Linked DNA regions of Oryzias latipes. The protein of the gene in region 3 interacts with the protein of the main gene of each other region in a biochemical or structural test. Links are inferred from orthologs where the notes say so. Each region holds a gene or a part of one and is shown on either strand. Other genes may lie near its edges. The genes, in order: hspg2, shc2 and kdr.

Region 1 (6,123 bases), on a different chromosome or scaffold from region 3:
TTTGTTAGTAACATTCAATGTGGCATTGCAGTTCTTCCCACTGTCATAGAGGCCCTGACATCTTTATGCTCACTTTTCACAGCGTCTTCCGGTGTATCCAGGCCTGCATGCGTCACACGTGGCCTGCTGGTCGATGTCCAGGAAACAGGTGTCAGAAAACCTGGGAAGTTCGACAAAAGGGAGGAATCCTGAGCAACAGAATGAGGATTTATGTTGTCGGGAAATGAATTATGTGCAGAATGCATAAGCGCCCAGGGTTTTTGTCCGTGTTTTCATATATATTTGTTCATGTTGTAGTCAACAGCCTTACCGACGTGAGGTCTCCGGGTACGGACAGGGACATGGCTTGCAGTCATCAGGGCGACCCCGACCTGGGTCACCAAAGTAGCCGGGGCGACACTTCTCACACTGAGGGCCTTCTGTGTTGTGCTGGCAGCTCTGTGTGGGCGAGAGCACACAGCTCGTTCTGTTACAATGAAGTTCAAAACATCTGAAAATGAAGGCGTTGAGATTTCTGAGACTACAGTCTATTCTTTTCTCATTTTTTCCACCATAAAGTCTCTCATGTGTTAGCAACCATCTTTTTTACATCATTGTTTGCCACAATAAATAAGATAGTTCAAACTGGTAGACTTTTTTTTCCACTAAAGAAGTTAACATTAGCACAAACATGCTAAAGGAGAATTATACATTTTTGGACAGTCGGACACTTCAAGCTAATTTCATTTTAATTTTAACAGAAAAAAATTATCAAACTCCTGTTTTTCTGCAAGAGTTATGTTTAACAAGCCGAAAGGGACAAGATATAAAGCATTAGAGATATTTGCTCCAACATTATAGCTATTTATGAAGTCCTTCACTATTCTCTAAAAGACTGTATAGTGTGGGAAAGTCCAGTGCCATGGATTTCAATGCAACTCAGAAAAATGTATTTATATATATATATATATATATATATGTGAGTGTGTGTTTTATAAATCCCAAATACTTATTTGCAGAATTAAATTCCAAATAAATAGGAACATTTTACAAAAAAACTATTTATGAAAACTATTATGAATCCTATTTATGAATCCACAGGGTTCTGATGATGACAGCTTGGATGACTCATACAAAGTAATGTAAAAAAAATTGTTTAACCTTTGTGCTATCCTATGACCCCACCTTTATATTAACGTGTTATCCCTACCATGACAAAGGTGGATAAAGTTGAAGAGGATTTCATGTAATCCATGGATACCAGTGAAGATTACAGATTATTGAAGAAAAAAGGTTCAGCGCACCGTCTTGTGGGGTCTAGATGACCCAACTCCCAATGTTAAAGTGCCTAGGATAGCACACTGGTTTTTCGCAAAGACGTCTGGGAAAATTCTACAGCACTTGATCTATTAATTGTAGATTCGGACAGCACTACAAAGTGGTAAACGCACTATATAGTTCACTATGTAGTGAGTAGTGAAGGAATTCGGACACAGCCCCTAAACAACCCCTACAAAATGGTGAAAATGCCATATAGGGCACAAAGTATTGTGAAGCAAGTAATAGGGAATTCAGACATAACCTACAGATCTCTAAGGACCACAGGAAGAAATGGATTACAGTGATTTAAATTTTGGCAGAAGGACCATTTTTCAAACAAGGCATTTCAATGTTATGCATTTTTTCTTTACAGCTTACAGAAACTGGACTTTTTTTCAAATTTGTACGCTGTTTATCCTTGAAATTGGTTTAATCTTTGCCAGGTCTAGATTAACCTCACAGACATCAAAACATCTCCTGTTATATGCTGCCGTACTGTAAAATTGTTCCATTTCTCATTTATTTGCCACAGACTACCCAGCCAAGTGGACCCTACCAAGCAGTTTCCGCTGATGGGATCACAGTCTGTGGCATGTCCATTGCAGTTACACCCTGCACAGGTGCCAAGATAAAGGCCACCAGGGACACGCTCGAAACCGGAGGAACAAATTTCACAAGACAGGCCCGTGTATCCTGCAGGACATCTGGAAACGAGAAACATAAGCATCATTGTGCAGGGTTATAATCTACTACCAAGAGGCAAGTAATATCATGAATAGGAAACAGCTGGAGGAGGAAAAGCCACAGAAGCAGAAACACCATCAACATGCCATAAACAAACGCACATTACCATTATTTGTTCTCACTTTTCTGATATAAAATCCCCTCCAACCCTCAATAAATAAATATAGATATTTACTATTGTGTGGTTGTTTATACAAATAAGTATCCAACCTTTAAGGAATGTAGACAAAAGTAATGGACAGTTTTTGAGAAGGAAGTTCTGTTTTCTCTCCTCACCTGCATTCTTCCACATCCCTAGCAGGACCTAGTGAGATGAACTCTGTGGTGGTGGTCTCCATGACAATGTCACTGAGTGCCACACTGACCATGTGGTTGTCGTAGATGGTGCGGATGCTGATGGAATCCAGGTTAGCCAAAGTCATCATCAGCTCGCCACGGCTCACGGGTTGTCCGTTCGAGTGCTGCCAGTTGTCCTGAAAGGTTGAGAGGCAGATAGATTGACCGGCTGTGTGATCAATCTGTCTCTCCATTTGTGGTTGATACAAAGCCTCTGACAGAACTTGGTCTTACTTCAGTGAATCGGATCTCTTTCTGGTTGACCACATTGGCTGGGGTGCTTTGGCCTCTGCGGTACACAAGCCGGCGTCCGTTTCCAACCAGAATGACATCTGGCCTCTCCACAGACTCAGACAGACCTCGAGCCAAGGTGTAACGCACCTTAAATTTTAGGGTTCCTCCGTAGGAATCAATCTAAAAATGTATTGATTGGTATTAAGGGTTATACTTAGTCTTTCAAAACAGACAATATAAATCATTACTATATTTACTTTGTTCCCCAGGAACTGGCGAGGCAAAGTCCAAAAGGAGTCAAGGTTGAGGAAACGCCGTGATAAGTCAACGAGTTGGAACTCCTCCATCTCTGGCTTAATGAGGAGCTGGGTGGAGGAGAGCGGGGGAGTGCTGGGCCTGGAGGGGTAGCTGACGTTCACTCCTGTAGGCAAATCATAGCTCTCTCAGTCCTCAAGGTCAGGGCCACAAATACCTTTCGAGTATGGAGCTCATTTTTTGCCTTTGAAGTCTTCCTCATCAGTGAAGCGCAGTCTGATCTGGTCACGGTAGCGCCCAGCGCTTTTGCAGTTCTTGGAAATTCCAGCGCAGAAGCAGGGCACACAGCGGTCGTTCACACTGAAGGTACCATCAGGGCAGTTGCCTGAAAGGGTGCGGGATGGGGGGGTTCAGCTACAGCCCGTGTTGGTGATCCCGAAAGGCTTGTACCTATTGATAGTGGTAAATACCTGGGATTGGGTTTGATACCAGGGTTAACACTCCATCTGGGACCCCGAACACCAGGCCTTTAGCATTGATGGCCTCGCATGTGTACGCCCCCTGGTCCGACTCCTTCACATCACGGATCGTGAGGGTGCCAAAACCATTTTTATTGTTCATGGAAACCCTGGGGAATGAAAGAGATTCATTTTGACTTGGTAAACTGGCCTCTGACTTTCACAGACTGGGAGAAGAAAAAAATCCTTAGAATTCCACTGTAATTGTCTAACCGCACACACACCAGGACGAACTCACACTGATTGCTCTGCAACCACAGCGCATCACAGCTTTCTCGCTAATTAAAATCACAAGGCTAGTTCAGACACAAGCCAGAGTTTAAACATGCACAGCTGCAAACAGACATTAACATTTAAAAAAAATGAAGCTTTTGGTCTGCAGCATTGACTACACAAACCCAGAGGAATCATGGGAAATAGGCTCTGTGGATACATTGATCCCAATATAGCAGCTGAATTCCTTCCCAAAGGAGAGCAATCCACAATATTTCTTTATACTAAACAATTTTTACAGCTTCAAAGACTTTCCAGAAGATTAAATGTACAGTGTTCCCTAGCTATATCACTGTTCACCTTTTGTCTGTATTTCACAGATTTTTTCAGTGCAATTTCACTTTTTTGTTTTTGCTTTTGCAGCACATTGTGTTCTGCATCCTGATTGGTGATAGACCTTGTCAATTAGTCTCCTCCGTGCTATGTCTTCTGTACAGAATACATTTCAGCTTTCAAGAGAAAAGTGTATGAAGTGTGTAGTGAGGTGGTTTACAGCTCTTAAAACATTTGTAATCCAACTTCAACAAAGGGAACAACAGAGGGAACAATGCTCTAACTATCAGACAACTGAAGGACAATATCAGTTTGATCGACAGTCAGAGATTATTATTGATAGATTATTCCAAGCTGGTTCATAAACAATCAGAATTCATTTATTTTCTTTTTCTCTCAAAATCTGCACTCATAAGCAAAATGTTAAAGGGTTTTTCAGAGCAGAGTTGCTTTATGTTCTATAAGATTTCTTGTATGTTTGTCATTATTTGACCTTTTCCTGTGCTTATTATAAAAAAAACCCTCATATAATCCTTACTCATTATCAAACTTTACTATAATGCTACATTCTCACTGGACTCGCAACGCACGTTCGAACAACCACTTTGAAGGAAAGGTCTATCTAAACATGCATACATGGGTGTTTCTGGCCGTTAAGACAATTTTCTGTCTATTAGTACAAAAAGTGTGTCCATTGAACATGCATTTTGCAGATGAACTTTGACCGATCGGGGACTCGGATTTGGTTATGACCTTAATTCACAGAACCATTAAAAAATTGATCATGGAGGAGAGAAATTATTGATTGCTCCCTGGCGGAATTGTATAACACCAAGTCTTTCAGATATCGGAAAAGAGCAGTAAAAAAAAGCCTGGAGCATAATTTGCAAGATATGCACCACTTTGACATTTCGCACCAAGCTTTTTCCAACTCTAGTGCCAACTCATGTGCTAGAATTGGGTAGCAACAGTCCAGTGTGAACAGCATCTGCTAAATGTCTTTTCAAAACTGCGTGTTTAGCTCATCCTACAACGCATGTGACATGCGCAGTGTGACAATAGCAAAAAACTGGTGCATCCCTGACAATTGGGCCTGAAAAGAGCTTGATGATGGTGCGATTAACATATGGTACAGAAGATATGCCCCCAAGGACCGTGTTTAAGAGAAAAAAAAAACTCTGAAACACTTTAACAAAATTTGGGCGGATTTTTGATACGTTAAGCCAAATATAAGAAAATCAACTCACCTGCCACTCACAGGAATGTGTCCCCAGTTGAGTCTCCAGGTGATCATTGGGGTTGGAACGCCAACAGCCCGACAGGTGAACATAACAGTTGAGCCCCGTACAGCCTGGATGGACTCCTCTGGTGGGGTTGTTACAGTGGGAGGGGCTAAAAAGTGTCAAATGGATATTAGAGAAAAACAAGACATCTATTCATGCACAAATAAGAGCCGCTAAGTGAGTACATTTTGGCTACCCGGCTAAGAAACATAAATGCCTGACACCTAACTCCCAAGTATGGATGGAGAATTTCCTTCAAGTTCTCACGAATGAGTCTATCAGAAAAAGATGTTTCTCACTCAACAGATGTTTGACAAGAGCTGTGGCTAATCTGTCACAGCATGCGTGCCAAAAAAAAAGACTGAAATGTTCATGAGAGAAAACAAAGATCCAGCTGCTGGAGTGGGACTTACTGCAGCCGTACTCGTCAGAGCGATCAGCACAGTCCGGCTCTTCGTCGCACTGGTAACTAGCTGGGATGCACTTGCGATCACTGACGCATTCAAAGTGCTTAGATGCGCACTGCTCTTCAGGGCCTTTGGTAGCTGCAGTGATGAATAGATAGAAACAGAAAGACACGTCTGATATTTTGGGACGGCGATTTGGGAAACAAGTTGTCAGATAGGGTTGTCTTATTGGTAATCATAAACAACAACGTAACAGCTCACAAAAATGAGCACTTTCAGCATGTCAGTGAAAAAAAACCCTTTATTTTTTAAAATACAGATGGAAATTGTTGTTTCAGCTCATGGAAAGAACAGAGTTCAGACTTACGACAGTCCATTTCATCAGAATTATCCTCGCAGTCATTGTCACCATCGCAGCGCCAAAGCTTGAGGGCGCAGCGGCCATTTTTACACCTAAACTCATTTGGCTCACAAGGTGATGGAGTGCCTAAAAAGCATGCA
Region 2 (6,766 bases), about 30 Mb from region 3:
TATAAAATCCATGAACGTCTAATATAAATTATTAAAAACCAAACTGTATTTTCTAACAAGACTTTTCAGGTAAAGTGCCTAAATGGTCTAACCAGGAACAAAAATGACAGCTTTTGGGTTTGTTTCCACCAGTTTGCTGCAGGTTTTGTTCCTCTGCTGAGCGGCAGAGACAGCATCCGACATGGCTGCGTACAAAGACGACAAAAAGCATGTTTGTTTTTTTTTGTCTTAAGACAGGCCATAGCATGAGAACCGGCTTCAGTGATGAGGAAACGGAGGCGGGGAGTCAGCCGCTGCGCCGTTTAAAAATGGCACGGTGCAGCAGGAATGTGCTGTCCCACTGACACTAATACATGCAGTCATCGCTGCTCCCTGCATACATTGACCACTCGATTGCACACACAGTGCAGCTTTAAAGCCACAAACCATGTAAATCCCAAACGCTGGTTCCCACAGTCATCTAAAATGACCCCCCCACACCCCTTCTATAGATGACAATATCCTCTCTTTAACCGAGATATCAAGCAAGACAATCTGCATCTGTGGTGACAAGAGCTCATATGTGCTCTTCTGCACGTCCCATGATGCAGATGACTGTGATTAAATGTAATTGAATATAGGAATGAATGGCGCCTGTTTTATACCTTTAAAGGGGGGGGGGGCTTGGACCAGAAACGGGGCTAATTAAGAGCCATTGTCATTACTTTGAGAGGCAGAAGAAGAGAGAGGAGGGCCAGAGGGGTATCGGTCGTGTGGGGAGGGGTTGTTGACATAAACCAGCCTAGTGAGTCTCTAACCCCCCCCCAGAACATAAAGCATTCACAAACACTAACCCAGATTTTATACTACTACCAAGTGGACTTTTGTTAACTCGTGCACAGAGATCCATGAAATGTCAATAATCCATGGAAAATAACCTTATATATGTCGAAAGACTACAAATGATGATTCTGGGGGGAATCGTAATAACGTGCTCCATTGTGGCTCTAAGTGTGCATACATTGGTGTTTTTTTTCTCTCCGCACCCAGACGCCTGAGTGGAGCCCTGACACAGCCCATCTCTGTGGATTAAATTATGCATTCCTCTGTCCTCGCCACATGAGCTGCATAACAAACTGCACGCTTCTTTTGTTTCCTGATTCCAGAAAGAGATACCTTCAGATTGGGATGCTGACATTCTGTTATTCTTGTGGAGAAGATCACGTGGTCAACACTTTAAAAAGTTTTTTTTTTTTTTTTGTTGCAAAGATTTGTGGAACGTACGCAGCTGTACCTTCTGACTTACCCTCACTATGTACGAGGCCCCCTGTCCTGCAATCTTCTTGTCGGGGTGCAGCCAGCCCTGAGAGGGTTTGTTGATGAAGTTGCCTTTGTGGCTGAAGTCCTCTCCCCCAAGCCACATGCCTTCCCCTCTTGTCCTGCGGTTCATTCCTGACCTGGAGCTGCTGGCGGCACCGGGGCTCACCATGAGCTCCGGGGTTCCAAATTCATGACCCGCCGCGCCGGCGGCAGAATTTGCAGCTGCAACTGCTCGCTGCCCCCGGATGGCCTGAAGGGAACAGGGGGTGACACACACAGGGTCACAGGAGTTAAGCACAGCTGCAAGGCTGGCCACCGGTCCACTGGCGGGAGTCGAACCAATGGGCCTGAGTGATGGTGTGGACGTGGAGGAGGCCTGGGATGGAGCTCCTGCTGCCTTGCCCGAGTCCTTGCTAGAGTTGGAGCTGGAACTTGAGTTAGATGGGCTTCTGCTGAGCAGAGAGTTGGAGAACTTCCACTGGGGCATCCTGGGGATGAGCATGCAGAACGTCGTAGTGGCATCTTGCTCCCCATCGAGGCAAGGGGAGTCGGCCAAAGCTGCAGCCCCAGCAGAGGAGGAGGAGGACCGGGCATTGGGGTCCAAAGGAGGCAAAGGAGGAAGAGGAAGGCTTGGGGTGGCGGACGGGACCACTGGCGTGGCCACAACTTTGCTGCTCATGGTTAAGCTTTGCATCAGGTCGTCAGAGGAGGTCACAGACTCATTGCGAAAGCGGCCATACTTTGGCTTAAGGAGCATGCCCGGAGACGCCGCCTGAAGCAGAAGCTGAAGGTGGAGTACGACTGCTAAAGGATGGAGGGGAAAAGGGGAAGGAGGGGGGAAAGGGGAAGGGGGAGTATTGGAAGAGGATGAGAAAACTAAGCAAAAAAAACGAAAAAAAATCCAGACAGAGTCCTATTTCCTTCTAAAAGTCAGCTTAAGGCTTTGTGGTCCTCTCCAGCTCCGGCTCTGTCCCGCTCTCATGCTGCTCTCCTCTTCCTCTGAGCTGGACCGCTTCCTTTCACTGCTCTCCCTCTCTGAGGATGATGTCATTGGTCTATTAAGTCCTGCCCTGCCCAGCTGCTCTCCCACCATTTTCACTGCAACACATCTGCCTGAACTGCAGATCACCTGTGTTTGTCTGCACACACGACAGGACCCTCGCTTTTTCAGCTCTTAAAAAATGTGGAAAATTATTTTTAAAACGACAAATCATGGACTTGAAAATACATTAAATAAATTCTGCCATCTGTCTGCTCATATCAAGATATTTCTCGAAAGAATCTTAAAAATGAATACACGAGAGGAATACACTGAAAACCCCGTCTGCCTTTTTTTAGATACAAATACGAACTCAGGAACTGATGAAACTGAAACCGAGGAAACGCCAGGATTCAATTACTTTAAGTGAATTTTGCATGAGTCATTTCATGTGAGTGTAATTCCATTTGGTCTGGCTGCACCTACAAAAACCGACAAAGTAAACAATACAGCTACGCTTGTGAGCAACTGTTTGACTGACAACAACTACCCCAATCCCATCTGCCTGAGTTACCTCCCCTCCCGCCTCCCAAGAGAGCAATCCGCTCTCTCTGCACGATGCTTTTCACTTCTAACTTTGAACGCTTCTCCTTTCTCCTGTCAGATCATTTTCCCCGCAGCGATATCCTTCCTTCTAAGGAGAGAAAAAAATGGAGACACGTTAAACACGAGAGACACGAAATAGAATGAGGCTACCGGAATTCGACGCAATCAGTTCACTTTTTTCCCCCCTTTGAATCTGCAGAATTTCACGTTATACGTGACATTTTCTGACAGAAAATCAAAGCACCTTAACTTTTAAAGTCAAAAGAATTCTAAAGTTTATTTGAAAGTGTTTTTAATAGATTTTGGCTAAAATGTGACCACATGTCACTATGATTCTACACCCACTACAAAGAGTGGCCATTATGATATGAGGAGGAGAGGTCAAAGGTTAACTTCAGGAATAAAATGCAGTGGTCAGAGGGTTTATTAAGAAGTAAAAAAATCAATTTCCAAAATTTGTGGTTTGAATCATCATCAAATGCAAACAGGATTACTCTATATCTATATAATATTTAGCTACTTCTTTAAAAAAGTGACAAATAGTATTAGTATAACAGTCTTTACAGGAAGGTAATTTCATTGGGAAGAGCCCACTACTTTGAAGCTCATGAACATCTTGGAAACACTTGTCAAATAATAATAATAAACATATTTTTTAACCAAATCGAGTTAGTATAATAAATTGGGAACATTTTTCAACACATGTACTATGCAGTCCGTTTGATCCATTGATGCGTTTGTAAAATAAATATCTTACCTAGAGCATGATGGGTAATTTTGGAGGAGGAACGTGGAAACCTATGGTGGAAACACTCCAGTCCGCTGAACCTCTGATCACTCAGTGATCAATGAAGATGTGATGCAGTTCAGTTACAGCAGAAAGACGCCGGTGACCCAAAACGCCATGAACGAAAGTTTCTGCAGGAATACTGGAAACTACCGTCCTCTACAGCGAATGCCTCCACACTTGTTTGCCGATGGAAAATAAAAGGTTACTGATAAACCAGATGTGATCGATGCCTGTTGATGCACCGCAGCTGGACTTTTACCGGATGTTCTGACCTTGGTTTCCTCAACACATGATTACTACCTTTCCGGTTACTCATTGTGTTTTGTTTAGTAACATTTCACCTGGTTTTCTAAAAATTATATTTATTTATTTTTCATTTTTGAATATTCCATTTTGTTTCCTGGAAATTAATTTTGTTTTCTGAAACGTTTTTTTTTTTTTTCATTTTTGTTTTTTTACGTTTTGGTTCCTGAAATTTTGTTTTGTTTTCCAAAAGGCAATGCTACTCTTGAACATTTTTTTTGTTATTTTTTTATTGTCGTGATCTTTAAATATCTTTTGTACCGATTGAATGATTTGCACTCAAACGCCATCGTACTGCCCCCATTTCCCATCATTTATTTGTTGACACTCTCTCCCGCTGGCTTACAGCCCCTGACACCCTAATCTAACATTAGCAGTGAAACAAAAATAAAGAGCAATATCAAGTTCTGATCCAGATTACAGCACAGACAAGGAAAACCGAGGACCTATTTATTTACAACTGGATGTATCGGAATAAAGAAAAGCTGGGAGCTTTTGGCCCCGCCCAGTGTAGTTTCTACGTCACATATAACCTATTTTCAAACTGCATTTTTTTCTTTCGCCTCCCGATTTGCAACAACTTCAATAAAAAAATACTCAGACATGCAATTTTACGCTGAATTTTCTTTGTATATGTCCCCCGTCATAAGAAAAACGCCACAAGAACATGTTAACACCACAAACACAATATTCATTGGAGTGGGTCTTGTTTTTTTATTGATTTTATTTTGTCCGTTGGAGTGGGTCTTAAGGCACGTTCACACCGGGACGAATTTCGCCGGCGAAACAAAGGGCACCAATGTGAGTGTGCACACCGACGCGAAAAAACGCCACGCGGCAAAAGAGTCAAAAAAAAACGCCTCGGGTTCGTTTTTTTTTTTTTTTTTTGACGCCTCGCGTCGAAATCTATTCGACCAATGAGAATGGCGCTTTTGCACACGTGTCTGGACTTTCTGAAGTTACATTAAAACACAACTTGGGGGCGCTCAAACACAAAACTGCCTTGCTGAGCACACATACCAGCGAAGAAGATAGACGCCAAGTAGCGTCTACACTGCCGCGAAGAAATAATGACGGACATTCTAAAATATCCCCGAACCAAGCACCAGTTGGAGCAACTGGTGCTTGAAATATTCATGTTTTCTTTGTATTATTCTGACAAGCGTGTAAATACTTGCTCTCTTCTTCTGAGTGAAAAGCGACTTTAAGAAGCGTAAAGTTGCGCAGCGCCACCTTGTGTACAGGAGTATTTCTGTTTTACATTAAGCGCCATCTAATGTCAGGGAATGAAATTGCATGTTCACTCCACTCATCGTCAGCGAAAATCGCCTGGGTGTGAACACAAAAAACGTGGCGAAAAACGCTGGCGAATAACGCCTGGCGAATATTCGTCCCGGTGTGTACGGGCCTTAAGGCCTGTTCACACCGGGACGAATTTCGCCGGCGATTTTCGCCGACGTTTAACGCCTCGTGACTAAACAAAGGGCACCAATGAGAGTGTGCACACCGACGCGAAAAAACGCCAGGCGTTAAAGCGTCGAAAAAAAAAAACGCCTCGGGTTCGTTTTTTTTTTTCGACGCGTCGCGTCGAAATCTACTCGACCAATGAGAACGGCGCTTTTGCTCACGTGTCTGGAGCTTCTGAAGTTACAGTAAAACACAACTTGGGGGCGCTCAAACACAAAACTGCCTTGCTGAGCACACATACCAGCGAAGAAGATAGACGCCAAGTAGCGTCTACACTGCCGCGAAGCAATAATGACGGACATTCTAAAATATCCCCGAACCAAGCACCAGTTGGAGCAACTGGTGCTTGAAATATTCATGTTTTCTTTGTTTGATTCTGACAAGCGCGTAAATACTTGCTCTCTTCTTCTGAGTGAAAAGCGACTTTAAGAAGCGTAAAGTTGCGCAGCGCCACCTTGTGTACAGGAGTATTTCTGTTTTACATTAAGCGCCATCTAATGTCAGGGAATGAAATTGCATGTTCACTCCACTCATCGTCAGCGAAAATCGCCTGGGTGTGAACACAAAAAACGTGACGAAAAACGCTGGCGAATAACGCCTGGCGAATATTCGTCCCGGTGTGTACGGGCCTTTAAACCAAAAAAAAATAAGAATTAAGGACTAAAAACTGAGTATTTATTTCTTTTAGTGACCCTGGTATGAGTGGGTTAATGAAAATGAAGTAAAACTACATTTTAAGGCTCAGTTCAAGTAGATGATAAAAAGTCGGAAGATGCATAAGTTAAATATTGGACTCTGTGCATTCAATCATGAAAAATAAACATGTGCAAAGCAAAAATCTTTATTATAACATGTTATAAAATGAGTGGTCAAGTAACACAGAGCACGATTCTGCCATCAAAATCAACACTCCATCTGCATGCACGTCCTGCTTTTATGAACTCCTAACAAACGATAAAGGCACTCCCCTTTGGGTCATGTGACTGCTCAACTGTTGATCAGGCATCGCTAAGCTGATGCTTAGCTTGGAAGAAGAGTCACATGCAGCAATATCTGACCACAGAACTGCAGGGTTTGGCTTTGGGAACAATGCCTCATAAATTCTGACCTTGAAGGTTAAAATGCAGAAGCTGCAGGAGGAGAACGACTTCATGGTCCCTGCTGTGACATCCTCAGGATCTGATAGAGAAGACGCTGCACCTCTTCGTCCATGTGACCCTGATTTCAAAACAAAAGCACAAACTATATTATAGCATTTCAAAGACATCAACGTTTCAGTAGTTTTATGCTCATCTCCTTCCAAACTTTACATGTTTATTAAG
Region 3 (6,123 bases):
GAGGAAAACAAAGACATACACAGATCTATTTGTCTGCAAGTGAATGCATCAGAATGGAAAAGAGCAGGGAGACTGTGGCCTGATGATTTTAGTTTCTATGTCACAGCTACAAGATTTTTTCAACAGTCAACAGTGTTTTTTTGTCTGCTTTTTGTCTACCTGATTCACCACGATTTTATTAAAGAAATGTCAGAAATGCAATTTTAATCCTAATTTTCTTTATATATGTCCACCATCAGAAAAATGGTACAAAAACATGTTAAAAACACCAAACATAACATTTTCATTGGAGTGGGTCTGTCAGAAAGTACTGTACTTGTAAGTTTGTGACACGAATGTTATGCATAGGAAGTTTCTTTTGTGCTGCTTTCTTTCTTAGGAGTCTTACTTCCTGTGACTGGACCACAGTGCAGACGCGGACAGGGTCACGTAAGCGCTGCTTCCAGTCACAGCAGTTGTTTGTTTTGGGTTGTGTCCTTCTGCTCGGGACTGAGAAGCACAGAGAGAGGGTACAAGTGGCGTTGGGGAAGGGCTGGCCTCTCTCTTTGTCCCACAGTCTCTTCATTGTTTGAATTTCAAAAATCCCAGGAGGACGTGCATTATTTGGTCCAACTTCCATGGGTACAAAAAGCTATTTCTATTCTGTCTCTTTGATATCAAACATTTTAATCGTGTCATGTGATTTGAAGGACCTCTATTGTCAGACTTTCATCTTGAATTTGTTTCCATGAGCTTTTAGGTTGTCATTCATTCTCAGCTATGAAACACATTTGCGACGTCCTCAGATGAATCACAGAACTGTCCAACTGGGCACAAGCCCAGGTGCCAGAGGATTAGTTGTGCCTCAGTGCCGAGCTTTTGTTCAATGACATGCATGCTAGAGATAGTGGACAGCAAAACCACAAAGAGAGCTTTCACAAAAAGACAACAAAAATGTGACCACAAAGAAAAACCACAAGCTTGTAGTAGTATCTGAAAGCCTGAGGTCACAAAGAAAGACAACCATGTCATAACCTTGTTTGAGGCTACCCTGAGACATTATGTCCTTCACTAAATGCTTATCCAGAGATGTTTAATTCTTCATATATCTGCTCTTTTTTTGCACATTGTTACCTGTTTGTAAATGGTCTTGTTTGTTTACATTCATGCTACATTTTTCTTTTTTATATTATTGTTTTTATCTTGTTCTTTTTTCTCTTATGTTTACTTGCTACAGTAACGCACACATTTCCCACGTGTGGGATCAATAAAGTACTTCTGATTCTGATCTGATCCAGGTTTGTCTGCAGTCTAAGTGTAGTCCTGATTTCAAAGTTACAGTTAAACCTCCAATTTCTCAATCTTAACCTCCATCAAATTTTTATTCTTAGTTATGCAGAATCTATCTTCTGCTATCTGTAAGCAAGCTGGAGAGGACGGAGCTGTCAGGTGGCAAGTCTGATAAAAGCATAAGCAAGAATGAAGGGAAAGGTTTACATGATGGGAAGAGTGGTAATTTAGGAAAATGGTAATTTAAAGCATTTGCTTCAATACTGTGATGTGCAAAAGCAGGAAATGAGATGCATATGTAAGAGTTTAAGGTTACACTGACCTTCAACAGTCAAGACAGCCTGGGAGGTGTCGCAGCCTCTGCTGTTGCAGGCAGTGCAGGTGTACAGACCGCTGTCCTGCTGTTTCACACGCTGGATTGTCAGGTTGTTCTGGTTCAATATCACACCTGAGGGCAACAGGGAATTTATTAGGGAGACATATAAAATCACAAAAGAAGAACTAGATGAGAGCAAAACCCACCAGACCCCTCCACCACCGTGTTATTGTTTTTGGTCCACACCACTGTTGGGTTGGGTATCCCAAAGGCATCACAGTGGAGAGTAATGGTGGCACTAACATTTACTTTCTGGTCAGTAAAATTATTGCGAATTCTTGCAGCCATGAGATCTGAAGTCATAGAAAAACTGATGTTAGACCCCTCAAGACTCTGCATGTTTGCAAAAGATGTGTAAAGCAGGAACCTCTTAGAGACAGACGCAGCAGAAGGCACGTTTTCACCCCAGTCTTTATGTTCACCACCTGGCAGGCATAGAGGCCCTCATCCTGAAAGGATGCATTGGGCAGCATTAGCTCCAAGGTGATGTTGGTTCCCTGCTGTGTGGGCAGCACAGCTTGTGACACGGGGACCGGCTGAAGGGTCATGGAGTGACACGGCTGAATCGGCGCATCCCGCTCTGACTTGGACACATTAGCCGCAAGGAACCAGGTGAGGTTGGTGTAGATCAGTTTGTCCGCCTTGCACCTCAGAGCCACATTGTCCTCCTCCAAGGGCTTATCAGATGGATACATACTCACTTCAAGGTTGCCTATCAGAAAGCAAATGAAAAAAATGTGTTATAAAGCACATGTATGCAACAAGAAGGGATGAAGGAGCATAATGCTTACTTGTCACACGGAAAATGATTATCCGATTGTCCTTCCCAACTTTATTAGAAGCCATGCATCTGTAGAGTGAGTGGGTGTCTGCGTTCCGGATCCTTAAAGTGCTTACAATTTTCTAAAAAGTGAATCAAATGTATTTGTTAACATTCTTTAAAAGATAAAAATGCCCAACACACACCTAAAATGATGATTGGTAGAGAAGTGATTGTAACCTGCGGTTATCAGTCAGTGGTTTACCTTTGCGTGAGGATCGATGTCAGTTGTAGTCCTCTCTATATGGTTGTACCCACTGCTGTTGCTGATATCTCTCCAGTTTTTGCACTTATCCACCACCTCAGGCTTTATCACTCCGGGCCTGATGCAATAAAAACGGACACGGAAAACCAAGCTGGAATACCATTTTCATGATTCATTCCAAAAAACTGGGCTAGCCTCAGCTTAGTTCATTAACCAACTCTTAATCTTGCCACTTATTTTTTCGTAACTGCTATAAAAATAAACTTAGTAAATTTAATATAACACCTGGTAACTACAAAAACAACCCCTCTAGAAGTAAGTAATATAATCTTAAAATATGAAAAAAAAATTATTTGAATAAGCATTAAAAAAAATCTGCCAGTTAAGTGGGGTAAGAAAAATGATCTTACCAAGAATTGTAATTAAAAAAAAAAAAGGTCTAGTCAATAAAATTATTTTGCTATTGAAAAACACTCGTGATGAGATTATTTTTACGCAAGACAGAAAAGAAGACATTAGAACAATGGTCTTTTTAATTTATTACAATTCAGTTTTTGCAGTGTGCAAACATTTTATTGGGATGTCGTCTTGTTTTTAAATATGATGGGAATTTTTCCCTCATTTTTTTCGATCATTTTTGCCGATAAGAGAAAGTTCACTATATTTAAAGTGTATTTCTTGAAACCAAGTCATTCTATTTCGAAATTGTACACTAGGGCGTTTTATTTTCTTTTTTTTTCATTTTGAAAGAGCTACAGGAACAACAGGAAATGTGGATCAGGACGAAGGAAACTCTGGGATGTGCAGGCAGAAGATAAGGAAGCTGCTGCATGGTCTTCTCTGGTCAAAGTGGCCACTTACGCACGAAAGAACAAACCTCCTCTCTATCAACACCCATTCAACCCTTGCAGGAGTCACTGAGCAGGCAGTTGTGTCACTGCAGAAATGTGCAGGCTGCAGACTTTGGAGCTCCGATCTCAAACAACTGGCCCAGACAGAACAAAGATTTGTGCAAGAAAGTCTGATGTCTTCTAAAATCGAACATTTTGAAGAGACCGAATCACATCCGCTGATCTCCATCAGGGTCAGAGTGCCCCTCATTGTCTTTTTTCTTGTTTTTGTCAACAACCTCTATTGTTTTTGCCAACCTCATGACAATAAATGATGACGAGGCATGTGATCACGGCACAGAAACAAAAAAGGAAGAAATCCAGTGTTTACTGGTTTTCACACACACACACAAAAACGACTTACACAAAGGTTTCCCTGCAGTCTTCCTTAGGCATCCACTGCCACTGAATGCTCTCAGGAATGGGAAATCCACGGGCGGTACATGTCAGATCAGGGCTCCCACCATATGAATACATGTCCACTGGAACTTCTTTCTCAATAATACGAGGAGGCACTGAAGGAAAAAAGAAATCATCACTATGACATTTTCAGAAGCTCAGGAACAAAACAGAAGAGAAGTCATCTTTCATACAATTGACCAGCAGCTGGAAAGAGGATCTCTGCTCCTCTTTTGTGACCTTATTGCTTAGGATCAATGTGTAGTTTCCTTCATCTGCCTCCATGACTCCGCCACGGAAGACCAGAGCGTCGCTCTTCTGTTTGATTCTGTAACTCTCCTTAAGTACTAGGCCATCTTTTAACCTAAACAGAATAATGGTACAAAAATGTGCAATGTGCAGCTTTTTCATGTGTAATAAAAGAACTGTTTATGACACACAACTGATGACAAACTGCCACTGCTACATGAACATACCATTTAAAGCTGGGTTCAGGGTACGCAGAGTACCTGACAGGGTAACTTGCTTGAGCTCCCACCGTTACTTCCCAGACCTTTGGCCAGGGTTCCTTCATTTCAATGAAAGGCTTTTCTGCAGGAAAATAACAACATAATTATTCATATTTATTTGAATTGTTTGAAAATGTTGATCTTATGGAAGTTCATGGAAGGAAAAACTGTGCAAATAAGACTTCAGCAACTGATAAATTCATCCAGCCAAGATGAGATGCTTTGTTATTGACACTAAACTATGTCCAAGCTTTTGTGTGTAGTAAGGAAAACCGTCAGGTGCCCCAGCATGAGCTGTATTATAGACCAGGTCACCCCTGCTCTATGGAAGCATTTCTGTCTCATCATTCAAAATAGAAGTTAATACCTGAATGTTTTTTCATTTGCACAATAAAGCTACGTAATTGACTCAAAAATTAGATGAAAAATAAATCTGCTAAACAGTTTTTTTCTTCTTCTTCACCGCTCAGTCTGTCACTTTATTAAAATGACAAAGAAAATGTTTTTTGACATTTCATTTTCAAAAAGTTCTCTAGTAAATGTGTACCAAAATTCAATTAGAAATACTGTATCTAAGTAGATGATTAAAATGGATTAAAAAAATGCTTTTTCCTTTTCACAATGTAACTGCATCAATTGATTCAAAAGTAAAATAAAAAATCAATCCTCCAAAATGCTTTTCCACTTTAACACCCCCATTCTGTGACATAATTAAAGCATTAATGCAAAGAGGGGATTGCATTTTCATTTTCACATCCACCATGCAAAAACTGTTGCATAAATCCTTTCCAATCAGCTGTTCCATGAGGGAGGCAGGGCAATGATGTCAGTGTTCACTCGGTGTGCTGCTCCAGGGAAGGCTTTGTAGCGCAAACAGGACGGCCGGCCGGCCGGCCGGCTGCTCCAGGCGAGCGAAGTATGACTCTGATCAGTGCAGCCGGACTCATAGCTTCGTGTTTGTGGGCAGGGAAGGGGGTTTTGTTACGGTGTGCACTCCGGGGGAGTGCAATCCCCTCTTTGCATTATCGCTTTAATCACGTCAAAGACTGGGAGCTGTTCAAGTAGAGAAACATTTTGGAGGATTGATTTTTCATTTTATTTTTGAGTCGATTGATCCAGTTACATTGTGAAAAAGAAAAAGCATTTCTGTTAATCCAATTTTAATTATCAACTTAGATATTTCTAGTTGAATTTTGGTACACATTTACTAGAGAACTTTTTGAAAATGAAATGTCAAAACCATTTTCTTGATCATTTCATTTATTTCTGAGTCAATTGATGCAGTTACATTGTGTGAATGGAAAAGCATTTTTGTTAATCCATTTTAATTGTCCAGTGCACCTACCGTAGACTTTGACGTATGCAGAGGCACTTTCATCCATCTGCCCGCTGGATGCCGTGCAGATGAATTCTCCAGAGTGTTCCGTTGTCACGTTCTCCACAATAAGAGTATTGGAAAGCTCCAGAGAGTTCCACAGCTTCTTCTTGTGGGGAATCGTGTGGAGTTTCCCGGAGTTCTGAGTTAGCAGGACACAAGAAATAACTTTGTTTAAATGTGAATTTCTTGAACTAATGTACAGTGTTCCCTCACTATATGTGGTTTACTTTTTGTGGTCTCACTATTTTTGAGATGTTTTTTCAGTGCAACTTTGCAT

What was found.
Region 1: the proteins of kdr (region 3) and hspg2 form a complex in vitro, tested with the Homo sapiens proteins (2 studies listed by IntAct). The link is inferred for Oryzias latipes from reciprocal best matches to the Homo sapiens genes KDR and HSPG2.
Region 2: the proteins of kdr (region 3) and shc2 form a complex in vitro, tested with the Homo sapiens proteins (2 studies listed by BioGRID). The link is inferred for Oryzias latipes from reciprocal best matches to the Homo sapiens genes KDR and SHC2.

Annotation. Positions count from the first base shown.
Region 1 is NC_019865.2:23,375,861-23,381,983, forward strand, and holds part of hspg2 (basement membrane-specific heparan sulfate proteoglycan core protein), read right to left. Parts: intron 6,110-6,123; coding exon 5,990-6,109; intron 5,761-5,989; coding exon 5,629-5,760; intron 5,325-5,628; coding exon 5,180-5,324; intron 3,497-5,179; coding exon 3,339-3,496; intron 3,254-3,338; coding exon 3,113-3,253; intron 3,035-3,112; coding exon 2,871-3,034; intron 2,794-2,870; coding exon 2,614-2,793; intron 2,517-2,613; coding exon 2,320-2,516; intron 2,004-2,319; coding exon 1,856-2,003; intron 439-1,855; coding exon 311-438; intron 161-310; coding exon 74-160; intron 1-73. UniProt on the Homo sapiens protein: Integral component of basement membranes. Component of the glomerular basement membrane (GBM), responsible for the fixed negative electrostatic membrane charge, and which provides a barrier which is both size- and charge-selective.
Region 2 is NC_019862.2:29,911,880-29,918,645, reverse strand, and holds the start of shc2 (SHC-transforming protein 2), read right to left. Parts: upstream 3,948-6,766; 5' UTR 3,642-3,947; intron 3,625-3,641; exon of another isoform or gene 2,101-3,624; 5' UTR 2,057-2,100; coding exon 1,286-2,056; intron 1-1,285. UniProt on the Homo sapiens protein: Signaling adapter that couples activated growth factor receptors to signaling pathway in neurons. Involved in the signal transduction pathways of neurotrophin-activated Trk receptors in cortical neurons.
Region 3 is NC_019862.2:262,380-268,502, reverse strand, and holds part of kdr (vascular endothelial growth factor receptor 2), read right to left. Parts: intron 5,986-6,123; coding exon 5,814-5,985; intron 4,551-5,813; coding exon 4,436-4,550; intron 4,324-4,435; coding exon 4,154-4,323; intron 4,076-4,153; coding exon 3,925-4,075; intron 2,789-3,924; coding exon 2,671-2,788; intron 2,549-2,670; coding exon 2,437-2,548; intron 2,358-2,436; coding exon 2,013-2,357; intron 1,939-2,012; coding exon 1,792-1,938; intron 1,718-1,791; coding exon 1,592-1,717; intron 1-1,591. UniProt on the Homo sapiens protein: Tyrosine-protein kinase that acts as a cell-surface receptor for VEGFA, VEGFC and VEGFD. Plays an essential role in the regulation of angiogenesis, vascular development, vascular permeability, and embryonic hematopoiesis.